Notamacropus eugenii: one gene and its partner. The protein of the gene in region 1 interacts with the protein of each later gene in a biochemical or structural test. Links are inferred from orthologs where the notes say so. Each region holds a gene or a part of one and is shown in the gene's direction. Other genes may lie near its edges.

Region 1 (12,407 bases):
AGAACAATTTGCCTCTACTTTGATGTAATTAACTGGAGGCAAAAATGTCTCATTAGTGTTATAGGCTACTAAATATTATAGGTTTACTGAGCACCCATTTCATCTTCAAAAATAGATGTTCTCTTTTCAATGCTTTGTTTGCTATAGCTGGGATAATGTTTCATATTTCATCTGCTACTAATTTTACATGGGAAATACTCCCTGTTCAGGGACACAATACCAAAGGGCATCTCTGCAGTTCATAGTAACCATAGCAATGACTGTTCTAAAATATAGAAAGAGAGCCTCTGCCTGCACAGATGGTATCATTTTACTGAGTAAGAATCAGGTTCACAGGCAGCGATATCACCTGGACCCCAGAATCTGACGTGATAGTAAAGTAAGACAATAACATGAGAGCTTGTGACACAGGCAAGTGCTTAAAAATAGCGATGATATTCAGACCAACCTCCTAGAGGAGCATAATAAAGAACCTAATCTGTGCAGATATAGAACTATTCTCATCATGAAGGTGAATCATAATTCACCTATTTGACAATATTTGGACTTCACTAAAAATATTCCTTAACATAAAGCCTACCAATGTTTATTTCTGCATTGTGTAATCCAACTAACTGTAATTCTAATAAAATTATAATTATCCATTTCTTTATGTGTTATTATTACCAGACCAGAAAGGCAGCACAGCTTAGTGGCTAGAAGTCTGACTTTGTCACTGTGCTAGCATATTAAAAAAAATTAGTTCAAGTGAAAATATTCAGAAATAATATTTTCTCTGGCTGAAAAATCCTTTCCAGACTTTTCCTTTGAGAAGAGGAGAACAAAAGAGCTTTTCTGGAGAGTCCAGTTAGATCAACTCAACAAATATTTATGAAGGACTTAACATGTGCCAGGCACTGTGTGAAGTGAAGAAGACATAAAGAAAGTTGAAAACAGTTCCTGACCTAATGAATACGAGTGGGAAAAAACCCTAAACAAAAAGTGACTTTGATCCTGTAAGATACTTGTCTTCCCTGTCCCCAAAGTCATTGGGTTATGTTGTTGTTCAGTTGTTTCAGTCGTGTCTGACTCTTTGGGACCCCATTTGGGGCTTTCTTGGCAAAGATACTGGAGTGGTTTGCCCTTTCCTTCTCCAGCTCATGTTACAGATGAGGAACTGAGGCAAACAGAGTTAAGTGACTTGGCCAGGGTCTCATGGCTAGTAAGTGCCTAAGCCCACATTTGAATTCAGGTCTTCCAGACTGCAGGCCTGGCACTCTATGCGCTGTGTCACCTACCTGCCCCTATTGGGATATGAGAAGACACCTAAAGGAAGTACCCTTTTCTCACTAAAGAGGAAATATTCTCTTCTTTTATTCAGAAAAGATCAAAATGTTGATGATATTGATCTAAGGTAGGAGATTCTTGGGGAGGGCAGTCAAAGAAGGAATTGAGTAGCTATGAAGTGACTTGTTCTATTTGTTGAAGTAGGATGTTAATTCTAAACTTTATTTTAACATATTATAACATTTTCCTTGCTCAAGTTTCCTATAAATAATACCTCAAATAGTATTGGGATAGAGAAATGGCAAAGGGTATAGGGTGAAAGACTACTTGTACAGTTCAAAGGCTTCTCTTTCTGTAGGTTAAAATGTTTAGATTTAGAATACTGTTAAATCAAATTTTAAAGGTTTCTGGTACACTTATACCTAAAACACAAGGGTACAATATTAAAACATGTAATTACCCATATGCTCAGACTTACCTATTATTTACTGTATGTTTTTAGCATACTTTTACTTTATTGTTTTCTTTTCAATATTTATTTTCTTCCATGTTCCTGCCATGCATAGAATTCCATGGATACATCCGTCTGTTTTGTTGCATATGCAGTTTTGTTATTTGCATTTATGTTGATTTTTCTGTCTCTAGGCTTAATGATATTGCTGCTGTTTTGCTATCATTTGACCAATAAATGAGTAAATATTGATTAAGCACCCATTACATGCCAGGCACTGTGCTAAGCATCCAGGATACAAAAAGAAGCAAAGGACAGTCCAGGCCTTCAAGGAGTTTGTGCTTTCTTAGGAGCATAAGTAGAAGGATTGTCCTTGGTAAAGAGAAAGTCACCTCTTCCTCAGAGACTGGAGCAAAGCAAGTAAAGACAAACAAAGGTATAGAGGGGTTTTTGTCTATGAAACAAGGGATATTTGGGAGCTTACCCAAGGTGTCCTCAATTTTCTCGGAACAGTAAGAAGAAAGGTCACCTACTAAGAGAATGGGTGTAGAGTACAATTAGAGAGCTTGGGGAGAGGAGAGAAAAGTCTTGCAAGATAAAGAAGAGAGCCTATAAGTCTATTAAGGAATATTACAAGGATTGCAGTGCAATTGGGAAGGCCCAGTTTATATTAGATAGCATAAATTTGTAGTTGAGTCAAAAGAAGGATGGTGGGAATGATCCAGAGGATGAGGATGCTTGGCAAAGCATGAGTAGTGCCAGGATGAGGGGACAGTGAATTCAAGTGTAATAACAGCTGACATTTATATAACATTCATTATGTGCCAGGCACTGTACTGAGTACTTCTACAATTATTATCTAATTTAATCCTCACAAAAACCCTGGGAGGTAGGTGCTATTATTATCCTCACTTTACAGGTGATGAAACTGAGGCGAACAGAAGTTAAGTGACTTGCTCAGGGTCACACAGCTAGTAAATGTCTGGTAAGTCTAAGGCAGGATTTGAATTCACTTGGCTTTAGACCCAGCACTCTACTCACTGATAGTAAAGACTGATAGTCTCTACCCCCTGCCTCTCACCATAAACAAGGAGAACAGGAAAGAACAGAGGAATCAGAGATCAGAGTTAGAATGAAAAATGGGGGTGGAGGGTGGGAATGAAACAGAAAAATAGAGGATGGGAAATGATGAACGGAAAGGAGGATTTCAGAGTTCAAGGTCATAGTGGTGAAATATAAGGTATGACCACTCATTCCTATGGGTTAATGAGGTGGAATAAAGATCTAAGTCATAGGCATTGAGGTATTATGAACAGGGAAGCCATGATGCTGGTAAAGTCCCACCCTGCCATTCAAATTCTTTATCTTTGTCCCTTACATGACATAGGTGGGGACATTTTCCATATGATAGTCACATGCATAGTTGTATGCAACTATGGGGGTTGCCTCTCTAGCAAAACATAAGTTGGAGAGTTGAAGGACGCTGCCTTCTAGTGAGTGGAGTTACTGACCAGTACCACATTCTTGAAAAGAAGAGGATTGTACATGTGGAGCCCTCCGCAGAGAAGGAGTACAGCTATTATGTTGTTCAATCATTGTGTCTGACTCTTCACAACCCCCTTTAGGGCTTTCTTGGCAGAGATACTGGAGTGGTTTGCCATTTCTTTCTCCAGCTCATTTTGTAGATGAGGAAACTGAGGCAAACAGGGTTAAGTGACTTGCCCAGGGTCACACAACTGGTAAGTGTCTGAGGCCAGATTTGGACTCAGGAAGATGATGTCTTCCTAACTCTAGTCACTGCACTCTATCCATTTCATCATTTAGCTGCTCAAAGCTATTATATGGGAGAAGCAAAAGACTTTGCTCTTACGGAGTCAGGAAGACTTGAGTTAAAATCTAGCTTCAGATATGAATACATGACTTTGGACAAGACACTTAACCTCTTTGATCCATAGTCTCCTCATCTGTAAAATGGTGATAATAGCGCCTACCCCTCAGTGTTGGTATGGGGATAAAGTGAGGTTATATTTCTAAAGCCCAGAGAAGTTCATCAGCATTGTATGTCAATTTCACGATGGCATCCTGGTCCGGGTTCTAGATAATGGACAATGCTCTCTTGCCTTCCCAGTCATCAGTGGAGTGAAACAAGGCTGTGTGTTTGCTCCCATGATTTTTAGCATGATGTTTTCAGCCATGTGGTCAAATGCTTTCAATGAGGATGAACATGGCATCAAGGTCAGCTACCACACTGATGGTAAGTTTTTCAATTTGAAAAGGCTACAAGCCAAGACCAAAGTAGAGGGAGTGTTGGTACATGATTTTCTGTTTGTGGATGATTGTGCACTCAATGAAGCCTCTGAAGTAAGATGCAACAAAGTATGGATCAATTCTCTGATGCTGATGCTAATTTTTGCCTAACAATTAACACCAAGAAAACACAGGTGCTCCATCAGCCACCATCACACCATCCATACATGGAACCATTGGCTACAGCAAATGGAGAAGTTTTGAATGCTGTGGATAAGTTCACTTGCCTTGGTAGTGTACTTTCCAGGGATGTATACATTGACAAGGAGGTTGATGCATGCATTGCTGGCGCTAGCTGGGTGTTTGGGAGGCTCCGAAGAAAAGTTTGGGAGAAAAGAGCGATTAGACTGACTACCAAACTGAAGGTCTACAGAGTTGTTGTGCTGACCTCATTGTTGTATGCCTGTGAAACATGGACAGTCTACTAGTGCCATGCCAGGAAACTGAATCACTTCCATTTGAACTGTCTTAGGAAGATTCTGAGGATCACCTGGAAGGATAAGGTACCAGACACTGAAGTCCTTGCTCAAGCTGAACTGTCAAGCATTCAAGTTATGCTTCAGAGAGCAGAACTCCAATGGCCTGGCCACATTGTTTGAATGCAAAATGTACACTTGCCAAAAAAACTGTTTTATGTAGGACTCACACAGGGTAAGCATTCACATGGTGGTCAGAAGAAATGCAAGGTCACACTCAAGGTCTCTCTTAAGAACTTTGGAATTGATTGTATGACTTGGGAGTTGCTGGCACAGGACTACTCAGTATGGCATGCCTACATCAGAGTAGGTGTTGGGCTCTGAACAAAGCAGAATTGAAACAGCTCAAAGGAAACTCAGGATGTACATATTTAGCATCTCCACCTCAAATGTTCATACCGACCATTTGTGCCTGACCTGTGGTAGAGCATTCTGAGATCATATTGGTCTGATCAACCACAGCTGGACACACTGAAACCTGACTCTAGCACAGTGATGTCATTTGGGTCCTCTTTGAGAAGGAAGGTCAACAACAACCATTTCTAAAGCACTTTTGCAAACTGTAAAGAATTATATAAATGTTATTATTTAGTTATGAAGACAGTGCAGATTCAGTAGGAAGGAGAAGGCTTACTTATCTTTTCTAGAGAAGTCTAAATCCTTAGAGACTTGAGCCTTTAGCTGCTCCAAATTCATTTCCCCTCCAGGAGGCAGTCCAAACCACAGACTGATGCCAGAAGTCCAGACAATTGCACATAGGCCATAGGGGGAAAGGTGGAACTCATTGGGAAAAAAAAGAGGAAACAAATCAACTGTTTATGGGCTATTATGAATTCTTTATGTTGTTTTGTACATTCTGTAGGATGGAATAAAGGTTATGTTCCTATGGGATCTGGAAACCTTTTTACTCACATCTGTGTAAACTTATCAATGAGTTGTTTGAGCCATATAATAATAATAGTTAACATTTATGGAGAGCTTGCTTCCTATGCCTTTTTCATAATCAAGGAAGAAGTCAAATTGTGCTGGCCAAATGAAGCAATATCCTGTTTTAACACTGCCCAGCCTCACCAGTGTACTCATGAGTACATTTTCCCAAAATACTGTCTCCCTTTGATTTAGTCACACTTCTGCTTTAATAATGACATGTGGGGAGGGGGAGGGTGTGCTAAACTTTGGCAAACATTTTGGCAAATGTAAGAAGAATCGATATGGGTCTTCTGTTCCTCAAACTAGTGATTTCAGGGTAGGATCACAGGCTCATTATAGCATCATAACAGCACACATTTCTTTAGTACTTTATATATATTGCTCATTGGAGACTTCCTATAACTTCTTTGAAGTAGGTGTTACTATCCTCACTTTTCAGGTGAGCATACTAAGGTTCATTGTTGTTAAGGGTCCAGGATTACACAGCTGGTAAGGATCTGAGGTAGGAAAGAGTCAAACCTAAGTCTTGGATCATAGATTTACAACTGGAAAGGACCTCAGAAACCATCTAATGTAGTCCTCACACACACACACACACACACACACACACACACACACACACACACACACACACACACACACACACACACACACACGGAAAGGAAAGCCCAGAGAAGTAAAGCAACTTGCCCAAAGTCAAACAAGTAGGAAAAGCAGTATTGGAAATAAATTCATTTGAGACTTCAAATAACGACGGTTAAATAGGCCCACATTGCCACATTTCCATTGTTATGGCTCAACACAAAATAGCTTTAACAATACAAAATAAAGAAAGAAAAAGACCCTTTTCATCAACTTGAAGAGGAAAAAAAGGTTAAAAATGGAAAAAAAATTGACCCTTCACAACAAAAGCTTTCCATTAGATCCCAGGTTGAAGGGTGAGAGTGGGTGGGGTATGAAAATGGGGATTAATAATGAGACAGCTCTGCAGGCTTTGCTCATGCATAGATCATTACTTTAGAGTCGGGAAGGAACCCCAAAGACTGTCTAGTCCTCCCCCTCATTTTACAGACAAGAACAAGCAAGGTTAAATGACTCATCTATTAGTCAGAGGTCAGACAGGAATTTGAGCAAAGGTCCTGATTTCACTACCAACCCTGCCCCCTCTGCCCTAGAGTCAGCCCTTTGCTCTTTAACTAGAATGTAGGGGAGAGCAAGTAAGCATGGATCATGCCTGAACCATAAAGGTATCGATGTTTCACGTTACTAGTAGTACTTAGGGCTTCAGGTTATTCCTCTACAAAATGAGCAAAACCTTATAAGCTGCTATGTTCACAGGATCCCAGATTTAGAACTGCAAGGAACCTGAAAGAACGAGTTCAATCTCTTCTTTTTACAGATGGGGAAACTGAGGCCCAGAGGTACCTGCCCAAGGTCAGACATGGAGTAAGCTACACAGAGGTATGTTAAACCTCTAAATGACTCTTCCAGCTCGAAATCCCTATGACTTTAAAAAAAAATTTTTTTATTGATGTCTTTTGAGTTAACATAGAGTAAATTTCCCCCGATTCCTGTAACTTCGAACTAGCTACACTAATTATTAAAACCTAATCACAAGAGACCCCGATTTTGAACTCCAGCAATGGGAGAACTACTGCTGGGCGTGGACAAAACCCTAGATCCGTCACCTCCGAGTCCTCAAGCCTGGGGTTGGTCCTGCCCTCCAGTGCTTGGGCGTGCGGGATAGGAGCTCTTGCCCCGGTGCTAAGTTCGGGATCGTAAGCGGCAAACTGGGTAAAATTCTTGTAAGAAGCTGCAGTCCAAGTTCTGAGGAGTGGGCGCAGTGGGCACTCTGTTGGGCTCACTGTTGGTCAGATAGCTCACTGGTCAGAACCTCACTTTCACTTTAGGATTCTGGAGCTCCGGAGCCGCAGTTTTGAGGGTGAGTTACTTACTCCTACCACCCTTGCCCCTTTTTCTTTAATTTTCCTTTCCTTAATGCTGTGAACATGTCTACTTCTGATCTGTCTTTTAAAGGGGTTTAGGGAGGGGAGGGAGGGCTGCTGGCAGACGGTTCTTATCTGAATCATAGGTGGGTTATTGTGTGTTTGTGTTTAAATCATCATTTTGCCTGACCTTTCCTTGGCAGTGGTCCCAGACCAGCTGCTGGCTGGATCTGGAAGGAAGCACAGACTAGAGACCTGGAAAGAAACGAGACATGGCATCCTTCTCTTGGGAGGTACTGAGGATTTCTTGTCCCGAGAGAAGGAGGAACCCTTTTTTCTGTCCTGATCTTTGTGTCCTTTTTAGACCCACTGAAACTGGGGTTGCCACTCAGTTTACGCCGATCAGAAACTTTAATTTGTTTAACACTGAAACAAGTGGCTAGCACGCAGGAGTCTGTGAAATTCGGCAGTTTCCGTTTCTCACTTTAAATAGTCCTAGAAGAGGCAAGACGTTGGTGTGGTTGTTTTTCCTTCTATTTGAAGAGGACCTTGACTTCCGGGGAATGGGATATCCTAACTTGCAAGTGAATTGGATTTAAAAGAGGCAGGGCTGAACTGTGCCTACGTGGTTTCATTTTCCAAGGACTGCTTATTTTTGAAGTTTTACCCCTCCCTCAAAAGGAAAGGTTTATGTGTAAAGGGAGGAGACTGAGTTTATTTGTGTCCAAGGACTATTCTTTATTGTTTCACAATTGTGTTTCTCAAGGTAGGCATTTTGACAGGGTGTGCCGGTTCATGTTTGCTGAGTGTTCCAAGTTGATCAGTCTGTTTTTCTCTTCAGAGTAAAACATCACAAAGTTGTTACTTTAAAGCTTCCAAGTAATTTTAGTGTTACAGGACTGATAGCTGGAAGGGATCATTAGATCCCTGAGAGATCATTCTGTCTAGTCCAACTCTCCCCAGTCCCTTTTTTTTTTTTACAGATTAGGAAACTGAGTCCTAGAGAGGTTTCCAGGAAGCCTCTAGGGAAGGGAGCTGAAACTTGGGTGACCCTAAACAGGTCCCTTGGCCTTGGGCCTCATTTTATTTATAAAGTGGGGACAATAGTCCCCTTAGGATCCACCTTAAAGATTTGTGAGGAGTGTGCATTTTGTTTGGTTTTTTAAAAATGTATAGTTTGTTTTTTACACTAACAGCCTTTACAACTATAACTTTGTACACCTCTCTCTCCCTCCCCAACCCAATATGCACCTCTCAGAGAGCCATTCCTTATAACAAGAATGGGGAAAGAAGTTCAGCAAAACTAAGCAATATATGGAAAAAGTCTGATGTTATTCTACACAGTGTTCCATACCAGGGTGTCTTCCACCTCTGCAAAGAAGGGAGGGTGCATTTTCTAGTCTCTTCTACAGGCTAAACTTGGTTATTATAATTTCAGGTTGTTTTTTTTTTTTCAGGAGAAAATCATTCTTTTTATAAAACTGAGTTTTTACTTTTTTTTCCTATTTCTCACATTATCATGATATTTCACGTATTCCACCCTATACCCCTTCCTGAAAGCCATCTCATGTGACAAATAGTATTTTTTAAATAGGAAGAAAAGTCAGCAAAACTGTTGTTCAGTCATGTCTGATTCTTCATGACCCCATTTGGGGTTTTCTTGTCAAAGAAAGAGTACTTTGCTATTTCCTTCTCCAACTCATTTTATGGGTGAGGAAACTGGCAAACAGGGTTAAGTGACCTGCCCAGGGTCACACAACTACTAATTATCTGAGGCCATGCTATGATGAGTCTTCCTGATTCCAGGCCTGGGACTGTGACACATACCTGCCCTAGCAAAATTGATGGATAGATTCAAAACGGTCTGAAGAAAATATGTGCAATGTGTAAACCTTCTACCTGCTCAAAGGTGTAGGGTGGAGGTGTCTGCTGCTGTCTCTTCATTTGAGTTCTTTTTGATCTTTATAATTTTGTTACATTTGCTTTTGATTTTCTAGTATGTTTTCAGTGTACATTGTTGTAGCTGTTGTATGCATTGTTTCCTTGGCTCTGCTTACTTCAATCTGCATCATTTCATATAGATCTTTCCTTGCTTCTGTGTATTCATCATACGCATAATTTTTTACAGCACAGCAATAGTTCATTACATTCATGTACCACAATTTGTTTGGCCATTCTCTGATTGATAAGTATCCACTTTGATTTGAATTCTTAGTTATCATAAAAAAAAGTGTTGCTATAAATATTTTGGAGTATAGACAGTTCTCACTTTAGGTAAATGGCAATTTTTACATAATACAAATTTCCCCCCTCTTCCTATGGGGAAGAGAGAAAGACAGGAAGAAGGGGCAAGCACAGGTTTCAGGAGAAGTGAGAGCAAGAGGACGAACAGATGGGGACAGAAACTGAGAGCCACACATAGACTCAGATAGGAGTGGTTGGCAACAGGGGCCAGGAGACAGGGCAACACAGACTGGGACAGATGGGGTACCTCAGCCAGACTGATGAAGATTGATGTGTAGCAGGGCAAAGGTTTCCTCTCTGGTCAGCTGCACTAATAGTGGTGTTCTCTCTGCCCTTCTACTTTTACTTCAAGGGTTTTTTTTTTTTCCTGGTGGGGGGCGGGGTACTGCAGAATTCAGAACTGAGGGACAGGTGGAGAAAGTGAGAGCACAGTATTGTACAATAAAGCTAACACAGGTATTTTCGGAAAATGTGGATTTCTTTCGGAATTCTTTATCTAAGCCAGAACTGCTTGTATATGGGAACTATCAGGAGGCTCCTTGGTGTATAAACCCAGTAATGGAGTCTCTGGTTCAAAGGGTATGACCATTTTGGGTACTTCAATTACATAATTCCAAATAGATTTCCAAAAAGGTTATACTTTTCACAACTCTATCAACAATGTATTAATGTAGCCAATCTTTCCACCAGCTCTTTAACATTGATCATTGCCATTTTTTGTCATTTTTGCCAATTTATAAGATGTGAGGTGAAGCTTCAGGGTTGTTTGGATCTGCATTTCTTTCATTATTAGTGATTTGGAGCATTGTTTTTCATGTGAATACTTTGCAATTTTTTTGAGAACTGTTCATATTCTTTGACCATTTATCTATTGGGGAATGGCTAATAGTCTTGTACGTATTTACTGATTGTTTATATATCTTGGATACCAAACCCTTATCAGAAAAATTGATGTAAAGCATTTTTTCCCATTTGACCACTTCCCTTCTTATAGTAGCTACATTAATATTGTCTATGCAGAAGTATTTTCAGTTTCAAGTAATCAATCTATTTTATCTTTTGTCATTGTCTTTATCTCTTGTTTGATTAGGAATACATTTCCTACCCATAACTATGAGAAATAGATGATCTGTTTGTCTTCTAATTTTTTAAACAGTATGATCTTTAATATTAAGATTGCATATTTATTTAGAATGTATTGTGGAATATGGTGTAAGAGAAATATATTTTTTAATTCAATTTTATTTTTTTTAGGTGATAATTCTTTTTAAAGCATTTACAATATAGACCACAAAAGAATTTTTTTTAAACATTAACCAACTGAGACACAAACAATATTTATGTATGCTAACTTCACAAGCCTAATTGTCTCCAAAATATTACTAAGAATTAAAGGACCCTAACTTATTGGTGTTGGTCTAAAGTCCTAAGCCTAATAGCTTAATTTTAGACTTAACCTCGAATGTTCCCCTACCAACAATCTATAATTTAATAGATCTGGTATTAAGCTTACAAACCTTTTGAATATAGGAAATTGCCACCAAGAGTAGGGACATTGCAGGGATATAATATCTCCCCAACTTCATGTCAGTTCCAGGTAGGAGTAGATTGTCAACTTGCATTCAGTCAGTCTTAAAGTCTGCCAGGTGTCAGTGGGGAAATTGAGTCAGGAGAATCCTTCCTCAACCCAGGCTGAACAGCCGCTCTCCCACCCTTCCCATGAGATCACCTTTTTCAGTTCATACCATGTCACCGGCTTACTGGCATCATGGATTGGAGGCTCAGACCACCTTTCTTGCTCCCCATACCTGGAGTTAGACTCAGAAGAACAGTCACTTAATAGTCCCATAGCATCTTAAAATAGCAAGTTCCAATAATCAGGTTTCATATATGACTGTCATTTCACTTTGGCTAAGGAACATCTTCTGAGGCAAGTCTTAAGTGGCTTACATGCCTTTCTATACATGTTCTAGTTCCTGATTAAATAACAATCATAAAATCAGATTTATCATTAAAACCTTAACTTTTCCATCAATGCCAAATTTTACCCCGCAGTTACCTGCTTCTAGGAAATTTAGACTAAAATTCTTTTCCCCAAACTAAAGATGTCTTTGATTTATTCTCAGTAATTAATTCAGTCAATTGTTTTAATACTACTTGCTTTTACATCATTTTGTAATATGTCCATTTTTCTCCCCATTACTCCCCTCTCCCTGCTTCCTAATACCTTGCATTCTGATTACTTCTTCCTTCAATGAACTATCTATCCCTTCTATCATATCCCACCCTTCCCTTATCCCCATCTTCTCTCTTTTCTTGTAGGGCAAGATAAATTTCTATACCCCATTCCCTGTGTTTCTTATTTCCTGGTTATATGCAATAAAAATTCTCAGCATTCGTTTCTAATACTTTGAATTCCAGCTTCTCTCCCTGCCGCCCTCCCTCCCTATCCCCACTGAGAAGGCAAGCAATTCAATACAGACTAAATATGCGTCGTTTTGCAAAACTTCCATAATAATCATGTTGTGTAATACTCTAACTATATTGCCTCTATCCTACTCTATCCCCCTTTATTTTTAAAATTGTTTTATTCTCTCATTTGACCTTGTCCCTTCCCAAAAGTGTTTATTTCTAGTTACTCCCTTCTCCCATTTGCCCTCCCTTCTATCATTCCCCTCACCCCACCTGTCACCTCCTCCCCTACTTTCCTGTAGTATAAGATAGATTTTCATACCAAATTTAGTGAGCATGTTATTCCCTCCTTCAGCCATATGTGGAGAGAGTAGC
Region 2 (11,957 bases), on another chromosome or scaffold:
GGAGGCTGTGACTTGGCCAGTCACACAGCTAATGGGTATGTGAGGCCAGATTCAAGACTGTCTTGGTTTGTTGACCTCTGCAGAGCAGATTTGGGCTCATCATAAAGTAATTTCTGAACAGAGCTTCCCAGAGGTGAAGGGGGTGACCTCGGAAGGTAGGGGGTTGCTTTCCCCTCATGAGACATGTGACTGGGACAGCTGATCAGAAGCAGCAACTCGTCTTTGTCTCCATCTCCGTCTTCCGCAGTGTTCAAGCTGAGGCTGGATGTAGGATTTATGACTCGGGTGTAACCAGGCTTAGATCAGGCTTCAAGTATGAGGGCCCCCGTGCTCCTCCACAGCCTGAACCAGGTGAAGGTGGAATCGGGAAACGTTTAACAAAATAAAGAAGAATGCACTAAAGAAAGTGTTGACGTGGTTTTCTCAGGCGCTACGCAGCCCACAGGGATGGCTTCCTGCATCCCTCCCCTTGCTATTGGAGCTAAACACCACTGGCCTTCTCGTCTTCATCTTCATCCTTTCTCATTCTGTTGTTGGGAGCCTTCACATCAAGGGCATCCCTGGTGGGGCTTCACATTGGACCTGAGGGCATCTAAAGTTATCCCTTCTGAACTGTAACCTGACCAAAGTCACAGCTGGGATTAGAACACAGGGCCCTGTGCCAAGTCTTGTATTCTTCCCCTGGATCAGCCTTTCATTGCCCCATGGGAAGCCAAGGGTCCATTTACATCTGACCTTCTATCATTGTGGCCTTGGGCATCTCTGGAAAAGATGGCTCCAGTAGTGTTCATGGGATGTGCAAGTGTTGGGGGAGAGGAAGTTGAGGCTGGGTCAAGAACCATAAGGGCCCACGTGATGCTGAACTCCGAACCAGCAGGGTCTAGCCCGAGGGTGGCAGAGTAGGGTTGTGGGAAACCCTGAGTGGGCTCAAAGTTCAAGAGCAGACTCAAATCAGGTTTGTGCCACTCCCTGCTTGGGGCACCCTGTCCCCTTTCTGGTCTGTTTCCACCCCTCCCTCTTTCCTTCCCTCTGCAGCCTGTGACTGGGGGCCCCCTCTTCTGCTGAGCATTTTCTAATCCTGAGGCTTTTCTGACCCCCTTTTTCCTGGCTCTCCTCTGACTGACCTCAGTCTCCTCCAAGGCTGTGTTGTGAGCCCTCTTCTCCCACCATAGTCTGCTGTGTTTCCAGGTTTTAACCACCAGCTCTATAGACGCTTCTCAGATGTTTGTCTAGCCTTAACCCCTCTCCTAATCTGGAGTCTCCAACTGCCTATTAAGACATCTTAAATTCAGTATATCCCAAACTGACCTTGTCATCTCCCTGATCCTCTGTCACGGTAGAGGGCAGTACCATCCTCCCAGACCCTCAGGCTCCCAACCCAGGAGTCATATTCCAAGCCCTGCCCTGGTGCAGGCCTCAAGGCCTTACCCCGATCTACTGCCAGACTGATCTTCCTAAAGTCATCCCGTTGCCCCAGCCATCCAGTCAGCCCCAATGGATGACTCCCTGCCATCTCCATGAGGAACCCTATTAGGCTTTTAAATAAAGACCTTTATGGTCTCCATGTAGGGACAGTGTCCCCTACAAGACCCTGAATCTCACTGGCCGTGCTCGGGCCTGGCCCTCTCAGCCTCCTGGCTCCCTTGATCTCCCACCAGGCCAGTGCCTTACGTATCCCCAACTGATCCAACATGTGTGGTTTCAATGGGTTCGTTTGCCCATTGTTTCCCCTATGACTGTGCAACTTGGAGGCAGACAGCCATTTGCCTTTTTTTTGTATCCCAGTGCCAAGCACATAGTAGGCGTTTAGTAAATGCTTGCTGACAGACCAGGTGACTTTTCGAGTTTTTCTTTATGCGATGGCATTCCTGGGCTGATATTTGGCAATCCTAGGACACTGCTATGGAGGTACTCAATGTCAAAGGAGGTGCCTCTGGGTGGCTCGGATCGCCCCACCAGCCCCTGGAAGGTGGGCTAAACATGTGGATGGAGCAATTCTGTTCAGCTGCCTGTGTGTGGTGGATTCCTTGGGTTCCCTTGAGTGCATTCTGCCCTGTAAGGTTTCCTTATCTGCTTAAGGGCCACTCAGTAGAGCAGAAAGGGACAGTCAGAGGTGGGTTTTTGTCACAAGGATGACCTGCTCAAGTTGCCAAATGTGAAGACTTGATTTCCTGCTCTGGAAAATGGGAAAGCCATCTGCCTGCCCTCCACCTCCCATTGTGTTGGTAAGGTTAGGACTTCATGGTCGACCTTCTACCAAGGCAGATGCTCTTGGGAGCTCTCCCTCTCCCCAAATGCAGATTTAGAATCCAGTTTCTTACTCTGCTGCGCTTGTGAGCTGGTGCCCCAAAGGGCACAGGATTGACCGGCTGGTCATTCATCAGCAAGGATAAAGGGGGAGGGGGCAGCATTCACATTTTTGGTTTTTGTTTGGACTAGGCATCAAAAGCTCCTGGTAACCTTGGGGGGATGGGCAGAGACGAGAAGGTGGACCACACCACATCCTATGACCTGGGGATGTTCCACCTGGAGAGGGGGCAAGGGGGCAGCAGGGAATGGGCTGCCCTGGGTAGTCCAGCCAGGAGAGCTGGCTGACCACAGGTCGGATGGCTGATTAGACACTTGTGGGACAAGGTGTGCTAGTGCTAAGATTCTCTGTAGGTCATTGTGGATGCTTTTTGGTATCCTGTGGCCATGCAAGGGCCTTGGAAATCAGATATCACAGGGCAGCTAAGGACTATGACCACCACAAGGCCAAAGGACATCCATCTGACCTCCAGGAATGTCTCCTCTCCCACATCAGGTATGGAGAAATAAGCTCTGCAGTGTGAGCAGTCTTGGTCGCCCAGAAGCTCAACATCTGAGGCAGACAAGAGGAGCTCACGTTTGGCTTCCACAAAGGTCCCTGAATTCTGGGAGCCTTCATTTCCTGACCGATAAAAGGAGGGGTTGGCATGGTCTTCTCTCCTTCTCAATCTATGATTATGTGGAGAAGCCAAATCTCTACTTCATTAGCATAATGACATTAATGCAAACGCATTTATTAAGAACCCAGCCCGCCCTGTCTTAGCCTGTCACACAAAAGCAGCATCCAGGTGTAACAACCCGCCAGCCCCCAGTGCCACCTGGCATAGCTGCAATGTGTCCACCAGAGCAAGGGGCTGTGAAGTCTCAATGATAGCAATGGTTTCGCCCAGTTCTGTGCACATGATGGTCTGCTGTGGGGCTGGGGGGTTGGGGGCTGCCACAGGTCTGGGCTGGGGTTTGGGCTCATCCTGCCCTGGATGGCTCTGCTGGGAGTGCCGCTGCCCAGCCCGGCCCGCTGTCCCACAATGAGTTGCCCCCTTCCCGCACAGGCTCCGGACTGAGGCCAGACGAGCTTGGAGACGTGAGGCTCGGGAGAAGGCTGCAGACCGGCTGTGCAGCTGCCGGTGCTGCTGCAGGTTGGAACTCTGGGTGAAACGCTTACCACAGTCGGGGCAGGGGTAGGGACGAGCCCCCGTGTGGGTCAACTGGTGGCGGCTGAGGTTAGCTAGTGAGGCGAAGGTCTTCCCACAGGCATGGCACTGGAAGGGCCGCTCTCCTGTGTGTGTACGAAGATGGTTGCGCACGTGGACCAACTTCTTAAAGCCTTTCCCACAGACCCCACAGCGGTGCCGCCGCTCGGGTGGGGAGTGCACGGCCCTCCGGTGCCTGGCTAACCGGGCCGCAGAAGAAAAGGCCTTGGCGCAGTGCGGGCAAGACAAGGTGGCGGGGGGCAGTGGGGGTGGCGGTGGTGGCGGTGCAGGAGGTGGTGGCGGGGGTGCCCCACTCTTGCCTGCATGGGTCCGCCGGTGGTAGAGAAATTTTGTCATGTTGCTGAAAGTCTTACCACAGGGGCAGCGGTGGAGGGGATTGGCCGTGTGGGCCCTGCGGTGGGCAATGAGAGTGAGCTCTGTCCCAAAGCCCCGGCCACAGTCCACACATAAGTAGCGGGCCTCGCCCCGGTGCAACCGAAGGTGCTGCTCCAGGGAGGAGGCTTTCTTGAAGACTTTGGAGCAGGCGGGACACTCATGGGTACCCCCAACGTGGGCACGGCCGTGGGCCAGGAGACGGTTGGCAGAGCTGAAGCCACGCTGGCACTGGGCACAGCGATGGAGGGCTGTGGCCGGGGTGTGGGTCGCCCGCCGGGGTCGCCGCAGCTCCTCCCCCGGTCCCCAGGCGCCCTGGCCATCGCTGCACTGGTGGAGGTGGATGGCTCCCTCATCCTCGGCCACCGCCCCCTCCGTGCAGGGGCCCTCCTCCTCCTCCCCTCCATCAGCCTCTTCCTTCTCTAGGGAGGCAAAGTGGGTGCCTTGGTGCTCCAAGAACTCCTCGGGGGTGTCCAGCAGCTGCGCACACTCGGGGCACTCGTAGGGGTCCATCGTGGCTGCGGGCGAGGGGGGCGCGGGCTCTGCCTCCTCAGGGGCAGGGCAGGCCTCGCAGTGGGCCAGCCAGAGGTCAGGGGACAGGAAGAGCTCCTCGCAGTTGCCGCAGTGGTACTGGACCTGCCCCTGAAGGGGGCCGATGGGGGGGTCGGCGTCCTGGGTGTGGGCATCCTGGTGGGCCAGCAGGGCCTCAGGCGACAGCAGGAGCTCGGAGCACTCGAGGCACTGGAAGTGGCCGTCCTCGGGCAGGGCGGCGCCGGCTGCAGCTGGGCGGCGCTCGGGGCCAGGCTGGTGCTGCTGCTGGTGCAGGAAGACCTCCTCCAGGGTGTTGTAGAGCAGGCCGCAGGCCGAGCAGATGTACTGGTGCTGCAGCAGGAGCGGGGCGCCAGGACCCGCCCCCTCCATGGCCTGCGTGCGGGGCGAAGGGGGGCGCTCAGAGGAGCCCCCCGTCCCGGTCATCCCCTCCTGCCCTCCACCCGCGCCGGGCAAACTGAGGCAGGCAGGGGCAGGGACTTCCCCGAGGTTCCACGGCGCCCCCTCGCGGCTCACTGAAGCCCCCAAGCTGGAGCGGGGGCGGGGCTCAGGCCCCGCCCCTCCTGACCTCGGGCCCCTCCTCTCCGTCTCCAGGGCCGCAGCTGCCAGGGGCTGGGACTCGGCTTGGCCCAGCTGGGGGGGCTCTCCTCCTGGGGGGCTCTCCTCCTGGGGGGGCTCTCCTCCTGGGGGGCTCGGCTCGGGGGAGGCTCTCCCCCAACTGCTCTCGTCTCTTCTCTCAATCCTTCCTCTCGGGGTCTCTCCCTCAATGTCTCTCAGAGTCTCGTCTCTGTCTCTCCTCCCTCAGTGTGTCTCCCTCCATGTCTCTCTGTGTCTCTTGTCCGTCAGTGTCCCTCTGTCTCTCTCGCCCCCGCCCCGCTCCCCCTTCACCGGGCTCCTCCCCGCCCCCTCCTCACCGCCGTTGCAGCTCCCGTTATCGCCACCGCCACCGCCACGACCGGAGCGCACCCCGCACCATCGCCGCCTCCCATTGGACGCCGCGGGACCCAATAGGCGCTGGGGCGGGGGCGGGGCGAGGCGCACAGGGGCGGGGCTAACGGGAGTTCCAGGAGGCGCAGGCGCGAACTTCTCCCAGGACGGGACTGAAGGGGAGAAGGGCCTCAGGCGCAGGCGCAGGCGGACCAAAGCTACTGGTTTTGTTTTGCGCCACTAGGCCGCGCCACGGTGCCCGGAGCGCTGGGCTTGGAGCCAAGGAGACCAGAGTCCTGAAGCGAGCCCAGATGGGAGCTGTGTGACCCTGGCCCGATCACTTCCCCGGTTTGCCTCAGTGTCCTCAAGTGTGAAATGGCACTCGTAATAAGCACCTACCTCCCAGAGCTGCTGTCAGGGTCAGAGGAGAGAAATGCTGTTTCCCCGCCCCCCCTTCCTTTCTCCTTCCAAAACTTATATATAGGTTGGTTTTGTCCTACTGCGGAGGACAAGCGTGCTTGGCTTAGAGTCGGAAGACCTGGGTTCGAATCCTGATTTGCATCCTTAGTGCCTAGGTGACCCGGGAAAGCCACTGCTCCCCAAGGTCTCTTCCTACTTGGCATCTATGCACCTCCGCCCTACCCTTTAGCCCCACCCTGGGTCTCCACCCCAGACGTAAAGAGAGGATTAAGTAAGTGGTCATTTGGGGAGCAGCTGAAGCCCAGGGGCAGGGGACCTAATTCACCCGACTCTGGCTTTGCTGGGTTTGCTTCTCTCTTTATTTCTTATCTCCTCCTTACTTTACGTCCGGAGTACTCGACATCCAGTAAGCGTTTAATAAATGCTTATTTGACTTCTAGTTGAAGCGACTTGGGGGTGGGGCACAGCTGTGCCTGGGTGCAGCCCCTAAAAGGAAGGAAGTTTGTGTTTAGGGAGGCTGGGGACAAGCTGCCCCACCCTGTGACTGACGCCCAGACCCGGGACCAATTTGAGTCTGCCCTACCGAAGGGCCCCCTGCCTCCCTTTGGGAAGGGGGGGTGGAAATGAGTCAGGGTGGGCGGGGACAGAGGGGACCTCCCTCCCCTCTTCCGGAGTGCCCACAGCCCTCCTCCCTGTGCCCGGGGCAGCTGCACCGAAGTAGCCGCAAGCCACACATCTGGAGCCTTGGCAGGTATGAGGACCTCCCCTTCCCAATCCGTGCGCCCGCCAGCCCCAGGTGGGACAGGTAGGGGCCTGGGGGGGTGGGAGGAGAAGGCCTAGGCTGTGCCTAGGCTGGGGGAGGGCAAGCTTCTCCGAGGAAGGGGCTCTTCCACCTAATTCTGCGTCCCCAGCGCCAAGCGCAGTCAGGTACGCATCAAGTTCTTCACCAGCGCTGGCTGACTGATTGATTGATGATAGGTAGACTCCGCTGGGCTTTTCTCCCCCCTCTGTTTCCCAGGCAGTATTCTGTCCAATAGGGCGGTGTTTATGTCTTGGGGTTTGTCAAACCCTCATTGCTTTGGGGGCTTGTTTACGCGACTGGTCTCCTTTTAAATCGTGCTTCTGGGTTGGCCGAACAGAGAACTTATACTTAGGAAGACCTGAGTTCAAATCCGACCGCAGGCCTTTTCTAGCCGCTTCAGCTGCCCCTGCCTCAGTTTCCTCCTCTGAGAAGTGGGGCTGATTGTCGGCGACGTTGTCCGCGGGCTGGCCTGGGGATTCGGAGGTAGGCAGGGATGCCCTTGGGTCCGATTCCACCAAGCACCGCCGGTGGACGGCGCCGAACCTGCCCATTCGTTTTGGCTGTGGGCAGGAATGCCCTGGGGGGGCACTTATGCGGCGCTTTACGTATGCCGCTTCCCCTCCCAGGTGGCTGCTCTGTTATCCCCGTTTTATAGGGGAGGAAACTGAGTCCGAAGTAGGATTTGGAGTCCGGTCTTTGTTATTCCCAACTCCCAAGGGTCTTGCAGGGAAGGGGGGGCGCTCAGACGCGGGCCAGGCCGACCCGAGAGGAGGGTCACCGGGGCCCGAGGAGGGGCTGGGCCCCCAGTCACCCCATCCTCGGGAGGAAGTGGCATCAGCCTTAATTTACAGTTGACGAAACTGAGGCCCAGAGAGGGGGAAGTGACTCGAGGCTGGGAGGGGCGGCTTTGACCTCAGGTGAGTTCAGGTGTCCTGGGGGAGAAGCCCAGTCTGCGTCCGCATCCTCCCCGCCTGCTCTCCGCACGCGCATGCTCAGCGGACCCTCCCCGGCAGGTGTGGGAGGGGACGAGGGGCGGGCAGGTGCACGAGGAGAAGACCCGTTGCGCCTGCGCAGAGCTAGCCTGGGCGCCCGCACCTGCGCGGGTGAGTGGCCGCGGGAGGAGGCGGCGGGGCGGGGCGCTCGCGGCGCAGGCGCGGTTGCGGAGAAGGTACGAGAAACAACCCCGGCGCTGCAGCCGGCGGGAGGCTCCCGGCGGACGCGACCCCCTGGGGCGGGCCGGGGCGCGGAGAGTCCGGGCTGGGCCGTCGGCCTGGGCCGGAGGGGGCCGCAGGGTTCGGACGGAGCCCCCGGGACGTGGGAGGGGCCGGGGGGTGCCCGCCCGAGCACCGGGGCAGGTAGCGGCGCCCTCCCGGAGGCTGACGGCCCTCCCCCGCCCCTCTCTGTTCCAGCCCCCCTCGGCCGCGGGCTCCCCCAGACATGGTGGGGCCCCGGGGGCCGCGCAGCCCCTGCTGGGAGGAGGATGCCTGCCTGGACTACTACGGGCTGCGGTCCCTGCACCGCGTGTTCCAGGTGGTGGGCGCCCAGCTGACGGAGCAGGAGCTGTCCGTGCTGTCCTTCCTGCTGGCCGAGGCTGTGCCCGCGCCCCGGGCCGGGGAGCCCCGTCCGGCCCCGCTGGGGGCCCCGGCCCGCTCCGGGCTCGAGCTCCTGCTGCAGCTGGAGAGGAGCGGCGGCTGTGACGAGGCCCAGCTGGGGCCCCTGCGGCAGCTGCTGCGGGTGCTGGCCCGCCAAGACCTGCTGCCCGGGCTGTCCCTCCGGCGCGCCAGACCCGGTATGCGGGGGCCCTGCGGGGGCTGTGCGGGGCGGGAGGAGACGCGGGACCGACGGGGCCCCTCCAGGGTGAGGGTTTGGTCGGGGAGGGGGGTAAGCCGCGGACGGAGCCAGCGTCCAGTCCCAGCAGGGGCCGGAGGGACTCCGGAGGTCATCCTCCGCTGGCCTGAGGACGGAAGCCGGGTGCTCTGTGGCTCTTGGTTCAGCAGGAAGGAGGAGGGGATGGGAGAAGATGAGCCAGGCTTGGAATGATGGGGGATGCTCTCCTTTTTGGAGCAGGGGGCGCTTACCGGCTTGGGAAGGAGAGCTGTGTAGGCATCTCTTGGGGAAAGCCCAGAGGGTGTGGGCCAGCTAGGTCATGGGGTTCTGGGACTTGGAAGAATAGGAGATGGGTCATGGGGTGAACCTTCTCATTATATTATGGAGGAGGCCTGGCACAGCCAGGCTCTAGACCCAGGGCCTCTGGCTCTAACTCAGTGTTCTTCATACTTTAACCAGCACCAGGACCCATGTTCCCAGAGCCCTGCCTCTTCTCTTTCTCCACCATTATTCCCAGACCACTGACGGTCTTCCCCATTTTAAGCCAATGTTGTCTCTGGCAGTCATGGCTCTCTGCCTGGCCTGGAAATGGGGGCATCAGCTGGGCAGGGGAATGGGCAGCTCCAAGAAAATGGATATCATTCTGGGCATGGGGAAGTTCAGACCCCACTTGGAGGAAGGCTGTGGCCTGGGAAGAGGCACAGGGCCCAGGGATGGATGGGTGGGGGAGCTTTGGCATCTGGGCTGGAGTTGCCCAGTGACTGTCTCCTTTTCCATTCTTCAGTGTCTCCTGAGCGTTATGGCTGTAATTCTTCCGGGTCAGACGTGGAGAGGCCAGAGGGTAGCTGTCTGGGCTCAGCCAGTACAACTTCCCAACAGGCTCAGTGGGAGGCAGGTAAGCCAAGCAGAGTGGGGTGTCTGACTTTCTGGGTCTGTGTAATGGGGTCTCTGCAGCTGTTAATGAACTGATGTAGTATGATAGATAAAATTTACTTATTGAAATATTGGTATTTTAGTAGTGGTGTGGCATAGTGAGTAAAAGACTTGGGTTCGAATCCTGCCTCAGATACTTATAGCTTTGTGACCCTGGGTAAGTCCCTGAATGTGTCTGGGCCTCAATTTCTGCACTCTAAAAGGAAGGGATTGGACTCAACCCCTAAAGTGCCACCCAACTCTAGCTCAATGATCCCAGGAATATTTCTGGGCTCACAGGCTGGAGAATCAGTTCAAATCCCAGCTCTGAAGTAGTTGCTATTATGGTTTTATTTTCTTTGTAATTCTTAGATTGTGGGCAGCACTGCCCCTGGCTCCTACAAGCAGCAAAAAACAGTGTCTTGGATTTAGAGGAAGGGTCCTTGCTTTCACAGGGGCAGCTAGGGGGTGCCATAGTAGATAGAGCACTAGGTCTGGAGTCAGGGAGACTCATCATTCTGAGTTCAAATATGGTTTCAGACACTTACCCAGCTTTGTGACCCTGGACAAGTCACTTCATCCTGTTTGCCTCAGTTTCCTCACCTGTAAAATGAGTTGAGCAGGAAATGGCAAACCACTTTAGTATCTTTGCCAAAACCCCAAATGTGGTCATAGAGAGTTGGGCAGGACTGAAAAGCTCCTGAACAAAAAGTTTGCTGCTTTCCTTTCCCGTTATTTTCTGGCTCATTGCAAGGCTCTGTTCTCCTGCCCTCTCAAATTTCCCAGCTTTGGTTCTTCACATCTTATTCCTGTGTCTCCCACCATCCTTGGTTTTCTTCTTACCTTGCCTCAGTTTATGTATTAGGAATAATAATCCCTGTTTCTCTAGATTTCCCTTAGGACATCCATGAGAATGTCACTGCCTGCTCCCTAAATGGGATGACAAAGTTATAGAGGAAGGCCAGCTGGTCCAGCCCCCTCATTTACAGGGAGGAAACTGAGGCCTGAGGCAGTGCTTTGTCCAGGGTGACACAGGCAGCTGGTACCTGGGGAAGGATTTGAATTTTGCCTAAAGCCCTTTGTCTGGCAGGTTCACCTCCTGGGAAGAGGCAGAGAAGAAGCCTGGGCCGCTCCAGTGCTGCAGGAAGGCGGCGGCGGGGTCCCCAGGGAGCATCAAGGTCCAAAAATCCTGGATCGTCTCCTGCTGCAAACAAAGTGACCTGTGGTGAGGGCTATGGGCTGAAGGGGGCAAGGCTGAGCAGGGCACTCATTGCTTCCCACACCCCTCTAGCACTGGAGTTCTTTGAGAGCTCGGAATGCCTGATTTGGGAACCGAGCATTTGGGGGGAGGGACAGGCGGGGTTATCCAGTTCTGTCGGCCTGAGTGGTTTAGGAAGGCCATTGATGGAGCCCAGAGCCGGGCAACCAGGGGGGCCTCAAGTCTAGTCTAGTATGTAGTCTTCATGTCTGAAGGAGCTGGGAACATCTGGCCTGGAGGAGGCAGTGGGATTGGGGTATGAGAGCTGTCTGCAAGCACCTGAACTGAACAGCTGTACTGTGGGAGGAGGTTACATTTTTCTGTTTGGCCCACAGTGTAGAGGCAAAGTCAGTGGGGGATATTACAGAGTGAGAGGCATCTGGATGTGAGGGGGGGAATAACAAACAACTTCCTAACAAGTTCAGGAGTGGAACGGGAGGGAGTGAGCTCCCTGGCCCTGGAAAGCTTCCAGCCCAAACAGAGAAGGGCCCTTTGGCTGGCTGTAGGCAAAACCCTGGGGAGGTGGGATAGACGGTGTTGAGGTCACTTTGACCTTCAAGATGCTGTAATTATGTGAAATCGGAATACACAGTACCAGGGGAGAAATGAGAGATGGAAGAGATGGGAAGGAAGGGATGACCCCTTCCCCTGTCACATAGTTACAGATTGTCAGAGCTGGGAAGGGCCTTGGAACAAGGGATGTCAGGGCTGGGAGGGGCCTTAGAACAGAGACTGTCAAGTCTTTAATCCCTAGCCCAGTCCTGTTTTTTTGTCAACTCCTGACTATTCTGATCATTCATCCCCCAAACAAATGATCTCAAGGGTCTCAGAGAGCAGGACATGGGATGAGAGATTCCTTGGCTCCGAGTCAGAAAGCTTGGGTTCTTGATTTGCTGTGACCTTGAGGGGAGTTTTCTTCCTCTACAAAAAAGGTTGTGTGGGTTAGGTAGTTTTTAGTGTCCTTTCCAGATCTGATGGGCTGGTGTCTGTGTGTGCATGTTCATGCCAGTCGTTAACATATATTAAGGGCCTACTGTGTGCCAGGCTCTGTGCTAAGTGATGGGGACTCAAAGAAAGGTGGAAGACAGCCCCTATCCTCAGGGTTTCATAGTCTAGTGGACACAGTATGTAAACAACCCTGTACAAAGCTATGATCAGGATGAATTGAAAATAACCAGCTATGGAAAGGCACCAGAAGTAAGAGGGGTTGGGAAAGACCTCTTAGAGACGTGGGATTCTAGCTGGGACTAGAAGGAAGCAGGAGAGAAAGCACTCCAGATTGGAGGACAGCCAGAGAACATGCCGCAGACGGAGGGTCTGGTTAGTGGAGCAGCTGGTGTCATGGTGGATGTTTTGGGGAGAAGGGTGTGAG

Evidence for each region.
Region 2: the proteins of CFLAR (region 1) and DEDD2 form a complex in vitro, tested with the Homo sapiens proteins (2 studies listed by BioGRID). The link is inferred for Notamacropus eugenii from reciprocal best matches to the Homo sapiens genes CFLAR and DEDD2.

The regions. Positions count from the first base shown.
Region 1 is NC_092877.1:297,262,059-297,274,465, forward strand, and holds the start of CFLAR (CASP8 and FADD-like apoptosis regulator), read left to right. Parts: upstream 1-6,904; 5' UTR 6,905-7,372; intron 7,373-12,407. UniProt on the Homo sapiens protein: Apoptosis regulator protein which may function as a crucial link between cell survival and cell death pathways in mammalian cells. Acts as an inhibitor of TNFRSF6 mediated apoptosis.
Region 2 is NC_092876.1:25,998,250-26,010,206, reverse strand, and holds the start of DEDD2 (DNA-binding death effector domain-containing protein 2), read left to right. Parts: upstream 1-6,394; 5' UTR 6,395-6,409; coding exon 6,410-6,537; intron 6,538-6,679; exon of another isoform or gene 6,680-7,586; intron 7,587-7,997; coding exon 7,998-8,377; intron 8,378-9,199; coding exon 9,200-9,310; intron 9,311-10,417; coding exon 10,418-10,552; intron 10,553-11,957. Other genes in the region: ZNF526 (zinc finger protein 526), read right to left, coding at 3,075-4,814, 5,354-5,428. UniProt on the Homo sapiens protein: May play a critical role in death receptor-induced apoptosis and may target CASP8 and CASP10 to the nucleus. May regulate degradation of intermediate filaments during apoptosis.